Arabidopsis thaliana: one gene and its partner. The protein of the gene in region 1 binds, or shares a complex with, the protein of each later gene. Each region holds a gene or a part of one and is shown on either strand. Other genes may lie near its edges.

What was found. The genes of interacting proteins can lie anywhere in the genome.
Region 2: CIPK16 (region 1) and CBL9 share a complex: the UniProt entries of both Arabidopsis thaliana proteins name them as parts of the K(+)-channel calcium-sensing kinase/phosphatase complex.

The regions. Positions count from the first base shown.
Region 1 is NC_003071.7:10,671,207-10,674,963, forward strand, and holds the start of CIPK16 (CBL-interacting protein kinase 16), read right to left. Parts: upstream 1,687-3,757; 5' UTR 1,405-1,686; coding exon 704-1,404; intron 45-703; coding exon 1-44. UniProt on the Arabidopsis thaliana protein: CIPK serine-threonine protein kinases interact with CBL proteins. Binding of a CBL protein to the regulatory NAF domain of CIPK protein lead to the activation of the kinase in a calcium-dependent manner.
Region 2 is NC_003076.8:19,130,491-19,134,247, forward strand, and holds the start of CBL9 (calcineurin B-like protein 9), read right to left. Parts: upstream 1,815-3,757; 5' UTR 1,618-1,814; intron 1,387-1,617; 5' UTR 1,238-1,386; coding exon 1,159-1,237; intron 776-1,158; coding exon 693-775; intron 370-692; coding exon 310-369; intron 215-309; coding exon 106-214; intron 13-105; coding exon 1-12. Other genes in the region: LIL3:2 (Chlorophyll A-B binding family protein), read right to left, coding at 3,728-3,757. UniProt on the Arabidopsis thaliana protein: Acts as a calcium sensor involved in abscisic acid (ABA) signaling and stress-induced ABA biosynthesis pathways. Contributes to the regulation of early stress-related CBF/DREB transcription factors.

The sequences.
Region 1 (3,757 bases):
AGGAAAACCACGGTGGGAACTCGCATTCCGCCTTGAAGATCTTCCTGTTTATTTCGAAAGGTTCAATCAAACAAGAAACAACAATGAGAATTTGATCAATTCACATTCACATTCAACAATACTAATATTTGAATTTGTAAGAAGAGCACTATTTGAGACCGTTATTATTGGCGGGAGTTTTATAAATTATCTAGTAAAATACGGGACGTGAAATTTTGATAATATAGAACTATAATGAAATATACGATCGACCAACATTTATCGAATTTGATATCAGATTAATGTACCTAAAATACCACCCGAATATTCACAAATTGATAATAGTTTCAATATCTTGGAAAATATTGTATAATTTTGAGTAATTATTAAAATTTGAATTACGTGAACAAATAATTCAAATACTATATATCTTTTCTTTTTGTGTGTGTAAACTTTCAAATAGTATATCTTATATCCAAGTTTTGTATCTATTGGTACAAGTTAAACTGTCTCTTTCAAATAATATTTTATTTAACCAAAAATGATTATTATTTCTTTTTAACATATATAAGTATGTGATGTAAAATTGAGATGCATCTAGAAACCCAACTCAAAATGGACTACTTTGGCTTTTAGTTCAATATTTTTTTGTATCTCACTATTCGTCAAATAAATAACAAAAACAAATACGGTTTGGGCCAAAACCTGGTCAAGAAATACTTACGTGTACAATGTCATGACGTTTTCGTCGATAAACGGCAAGAAGCCAGCAAGGAGTGCATACAAAACAATCCCGCACGACCAAATATCAGCCATAGCTCCGTCGTATCCTTTATTCCGTAAAACCTCCGGCGCCACGTAAGCCGGTGTCCCGCACCGCGTATGTAAAAGATCATCGCTGCTACCACGCCTGCCACCTAGCCCTTCTGGCATCATCAATGCGGAAAGTCCGAAATCCGTTACCTTAAGATCACCTTCTCCGTCAAGCAACAGATTCTCGGGTTTAATATCGCGGTGGAAAACACCGCGGCTGTGGCAAAAATCCACCGCGGATATCAATTGTTGGAAATACTTTCTGGCTAGATCCTCCGGGAGCTTCCCATCTCTATCGATCATTTCGAAAAGCTCTCCGCCGTTGACGTACTCCATGACGAAGAAAATCTTCTTCTTTGTAGCCATTACTTCGCGGAGCTCGACCACGTTTGGATGACGGAGGAGACGCATGACGGCGATCTCTCGTTCGATTTGCTCCATCATGCCACGACGTTTGAAAACGTGGTCTTTTTTGATGACTTTGATTGCCACGTCATCGCCGGTGGAGATCTCTGTTCCGTGATACACTTTGGCGAAGTTACCGGTTCCGAGAAGTCTTCCGATGTTGTATTTGTCGAACAAGACAGTACTACTACGGTTTGATTCTTCCATTGTCTTTGTCTGACTAGTTACAAGTATATGTGAGACTAATTATGTGGAATTTTGTGATTTGGTTACATATCTATATATATAAGCAGAAATTATTTGTGGAATTTTTTTATTTATAATGTTGTCTACTTTGTTTGATATGTGACGACTAAGTGAACTGTGAAGAAATGTTCTAATCTTATCTAAACAAAGTGATGTGCCTAAGATCTGGCAGCTAGCATAATTAAATACGACCAAAGCCAAAAGAATAACCAAGACGAAATTGATTCGCGAATTGAACTAAATCGGGGTTTGCTATTTATGTTGAGTGCCTAAAAAAGGGTTATAGAACATGATAAAACTAGATATAATTAACAAACTAAAGCATGAAAAATAAATATCTCGAGTTACGATGCAATGATCATAAGAGAATGATTTCAATAAAAGTGTAACAGGTGATTTAAATCCATTTCTATGTAAATAAATCCTTTTTTTAACCAGTTAAACAATGGTCTCGCACATTTCTGACCATGTATTCATGTAAATAAGTTCTTAAAGTTTTCAGAATAGATTTTAAAAATATAAAAGTAACTCTCTTATCCTTATACAAAAATTGTGGACGCCATGAAATTGACGTGGAATCGCCGTTAATGCTACGCATGTTTTGAAGTAGATACGCATTAATTAAAAATAGTAAACTTGTCCCGATAAAATTTCAATGAACTGTCTTTTTTTGGTAAGGCAAGATGTGACCTTTTCTACTTGGCCCTTAAATATTTTTAAAACAATTTCTTGACTTATTTTTCATAGAGGAATTTTTAATTTCTTTCGAAAAGCTTTGACTCTTTTCCTAGTTGGGACGATTGTATCGGAAAGTGGTCATTTCTAATACGTCCGTGAATCTATCGACCAAATCTTCCTTTCTACATCTTTGCTAATTTCTTGGTTTGATGGATTCTTCATATTTTGCTACTCAAAACAACACACTCAATTTTTCCAATTGTTTTCTTACAATTTGATGATTTTTCTACATACATGAAAATCTCATTATAACCGTGTATTTGGGTGGGATACTGTTATTTTCCTCTATCATAATCAAAGGTACATCTTGTAAAGCTAAATCTAAATTTTAACAAAAAAAAAAGAAGCTAAATCTAAATTTGTTCGATTTAAAGATCAGGATTATTAAGATAATATATAACTAATCATTTTAAGGAACATGTATAACAAGTCCAAGAAACTTTGTGATGTGTCATGATTTGGACCCACGATTAATGACAACAATTATGTTTACACAAATGTTAATACTCTAACGAAATACTATAACGAGTTTTACCCAAAAAAAAAAAAAAAAAAAAAAAAAAAAATACTATAACGAGATATGTATTTAAAATTGAAGAGTAAAAGGGTAACATCACAAACATAGTACACTATTTTGTGGCTAATTGGGTGATCACAGACATATATCTACTTATCGCGCTGCATTTCCGATTGTTTGTTATTTTCGGGTGATTAGGTTGTCGAAACTAGCTGCTAAAACAAGCCATGCCGTGAATTTTGCATCACATTGATCAGTCAAATTTCAAGCAGTAGTTGATTGGAATATGCCCTAAAGAGTGAAAAGATTTGCAAATCCACCTAAATAAGCCATCGTTTGTGCTGCACATGGTTTAAATGTTGCATTACTTAATTAGAAAACAATTTGATCAAATGCATAGGAGTTCTACTTCGAACGAATCTAAAGATGTTACCTCATCTACCTTATGTTTTCCTGATGATAGAAGACCCCCTTACCTAAAAATGTTGTTCAAGGGTAAACAATAAATACATATATATACATGAGTGTGTGTGTGTGTACAAGCACGATTCATATTATATGTATGTTGCCAAAACCTTTGCTATTTGATGCACAATATGTGATGATGTAAACTTTATATATAAGTACAGAATGTTTGAATGGAGCTTAGACAATTTCTTGAACCAGAGAAAATAAAATAATAATTGGTGTTGTTGATAAAAACTCAACATGCCAAGAAAAACAGATTGCTGAAGTATGGATCTTCAAATTCTATCATTTACATAAATTAAAATGAGTGATCTTGCAAGGAAAAATGTGAAGAAAAATGGAAAATAAGAGTTCTTTGTAAGAAAGGGGAAGTTTTATTGAAATGAAAATATTGAAGACTTGGTAATAAAGAAGAATGCAAAAACCGTGAAGAATCCTACACAATTTTGTCTACTTCTTTTTTTTTTCTTTACTTCAAAAGTACAAAATTTTCTCTACTTTCTGTAGCTTCTCTTTTTGTTAGAAAGTTGATAAATCTTTGCAAAGGACGACTGTACTGGTCTGAAAGATCCATGTGACAGAACGAACTGT
Region 2 (3,757 bases), on another chromosome or scaffold:
GCCTAAAGGTAACTGATATATGAAATACAGAATAACATGAATAAAAGTACAGCAAGGCTTTAGAGAAACGACGATGGATATAAACTCGTTTATGGGTCAACTTACAGTCTGTTTTCTCCTCTAGGGAAGCATTAGGATGGAAAACATTGAGTGATCTCACAAAGTCTCCAAAATCAATTACGCCTTTTCGTTTAACATCAAATAAATCAAATATCTGGAAAAAAGAGCATTACCATTAACTACTTATAATAGAACTAATCGTTACGACTAACTACAAAGTTACTAAGGCCAAAGAAACTTAGAATTTACCCTATTGGCAAACAAATTTTCTTTCTTTCTGTTCTTGAACAAAGCAAGTTGAAACTCTTCCTGCATAACAAGTTGGTCGAGAAAATAAGTAACAATATCCAAGAGTGGGCCAAGAAAACATCAATTTTTATAAGCAAACCAATATAAAAAATGGAATTAAAATTCAAGTCAACTATCATCAACACAGAGACTTGGTGAGCAATAAGGAGCCCACAGCTCAGCATGGAGATTCAATAATAAATTTGTGAAAGTCAAGAAAGTTGACAAATAATACGGAATATGGATAATGGTGCAATGAATATTATTATGTCACTGTACATCACGCATTCAAGATTCTCCCATGAGGTGCGAAATAATCAAAGGGCTATGAGATTTATCATTACCTTGTTTATCAAGCCATCGTCAACAACCGAGCTGCTTATGCTCTTGAACAATTCATACAATGCTTCAACTTCACTAACACTAACTAGAAAAACAAACAAATAATTAGCCACACTGCGAGATTTCTCATCAACATCATGTATATCACCAAAACAAAAATCGAAAGTGATGGTTCTTGAAAACTTTCTCTGATTAAGATTCCATTTGAAAGTAGAAGTAAACTACACTAATGATCCAAGAAACTATTGAAATAGGTTTATGTGATGACTTAAGTAACAACAAGCATCATTTAACAAAGTTGTAGATCAAATAGATTATGAATGAAAGAACCATTTTTCGGATTCAATAAATGGCGAAAACAGATTCTCATATCAGTTAACAATTGATAAAAGAGAGATCTTTATGCTCATGCTCTTTGAGAATAAAGCAAAGAAGAGAAAACGAAACGTATAGTGCAAGTAAACTTACAAGCAGTCTCAGAAGCAAGCTTCACAGGGTTTTCGTGATCGGGAAATTCTCTGGCAGCCGTGGAATGGAAACAACCCATTTACGGATGACAAGAGTAAAACGAAGAAGAAGAAGCTTGTTCCGGAGGTTGATAAAATCGCCAAACTCTACTACAATTTCTGAGATTGTGAAAAAGCTTGATTTCTGATATTACTCACTCCCCATCATCATCATAAGCATCTTTAAAAACTACAATGATTCAATCAAAAACAAAACCCAACAAAAATTGAATTAAAAGACGAACACGATAATTGAATAAGTATAAACCCTAGAAAAAATAAGCAGCAGCTATGTGGCAATCGAATTCAGATTAACAAAATTTTGAATATTAAATCGGAAATTAAACAGGTAATGTAGGAGCGGCTCGAGAATCTCCGAACCCAGAAACTGAATGGTGAAATCGAAAAATTGAGCACTTACCACCGAGAGAACGGGCTCGCCGGCTCGGTGAGAGAGAGAGAGGAAGGGATTTTGATTTTTGAGAAACGAGAGAGAGACGAAGAAGAAGATCTCTGACCACGATGGTAGATGAATTGATCGGACGGCTGAGATTAACTTCAGACTTTGCTGGGCTTTTTTTGTTCGTCAGAGGCCTCCGATTGGGGAAATTATGAGAGAGTTTGTTTATAACATGATCGTCGCACGTGTGAGGGTCTGAACGCGTGTGAAACACATCCTTGTCATTTTTACCTCTTTTTTTCTACCAACCCCATTTTTATTTTATTTTTATTACAGTGTGGGAAGAAAACAAAGCCATTATTGTTGTTTGACATTTTAGTTTCGAAATTTCAACTTTCAACTTTCCTTTTTTATTGGTTAAGAAAGTTAATCATTTTTACAAGTTTTCTTACAATTCTGCAATGATTTTGTTTTGTTTTTGTTTTTTTATTAAAAGAAAAATATTTAGACTCGAATTTTGTTTTTATGTAAGTTTATAACTGTAAGAAAAAAAAAGTGTAGAGAGGTAACTAGTACTTGTAGAGTCAAGATTTAACATACTCAAAAGATACTAAGAATGATATTTATTTGTATAAGATATAATTTTCAAATTGGATCTTTCATTTTCATAATCCATACAGATGTCAAGATCTCATAGTCTTCAAGATCTTGCAATAAATAAATATTAATATGATAACCCAACTAGCAAGGGGACTAATTACTGTATTTATCTATATATTCAAGATTCATGTAGAGTGTGTTTGATAATAATTTCAATATGGGTCATATACCTTTTGGGATAAACGAAGAATTATAATAATTCTGGTCACATTTTAGTAGTCTAATCAATCACGTAGGACAAACAAAAATCCAATAGTATAAAGGCGGTCTAAATAAGAATTATGGATTAACATAATTACTTTTATATAAACCATAAGACATGATCTAATCATGTATATTATCAAATTTTGAAACTAATTAAGTACGTACGCCATCCAACAATCCAATAATGTAAACTATATAATGTTCGCCTAAAAAAAAGAAATGGATTAGCATATCCATAAGACATGGCCAAATCATGCATGTTACGTATATTAAATTTGAAACTGGGATCCTGGCTCTAGTAAGAGTGGTTTATAATTTTATATTGGGTTTAGAATTCCAAATTAAATGGTCAAATTCTTTCATTCCAATACAAGCAGAAACTTTTATGATAGTAAAAAGATTATGAGAAGACTTATGAGGTGTTAAGAAAGTGGGAGATGTATTATGAGGAGGAGAGATTATGAGTATAGTAAAAAGATTATGAGAAAAAAGATTATGACAATAGTAAACAAGAAGGTCCATACAGTATCCATGTTTTTCAAGAAAGTGGGAGATGCCAAAGTCCTGGACCTAATATTTTTGTTTTAAGTTTTGATAACTAACTAATTTTTTTTAAATCAGACACAAAAATAAACATAGACTGTTGATATTTTAGAAAATTAAGATCTATTAAAAAAATATTGTATTTTCTTATAGATAAACAAAAAAAACTTTTTTTTTACTAAAAGACTAATATCAAACTGTCCTAAGGTCCCTACTAATTTTGGGCCGGTGGTCCTGACAAGTGACAACAGTTTAATGGTCCATTTTGTACTTAAAATTGAGTCAAATTAGTTGCGGCAATAAGAGCAGAGCAGTAATGTGTTACACCCTTAAAGGACGTTAGTACTGAAGCCCAAATTCTTTGGAGGTTGGTTGGTTGGTTGATGAAGTGCGGTTTTGATTAATTCACAAATATGACTTACTTGATGACTTTTCACAAACATCCATCTGGAAACGCTACTATTTGATGATGTATTAACAGTAGAAAGCATATTAAAAAAAATAAAATCTCTTATTGATTAAATTATCAAGCGTCAAAACGAAATAGGTCTGCTTTACAAGTCAAAGACCTTCGATACATTATCTTTGAGACTACTTCATAGAGATTTTTAAAGCAGAAAGATTACAAAATCTGAAGATCAGTAGTTCAGTAGAGATAAACTTTCACTGATTCACAGATTATTGCATAACAAAAAAAGGAAAATGAAAGATTGTAAGAACTTGTTCACTTCTTTGAAGAAACTGTTGATGAATC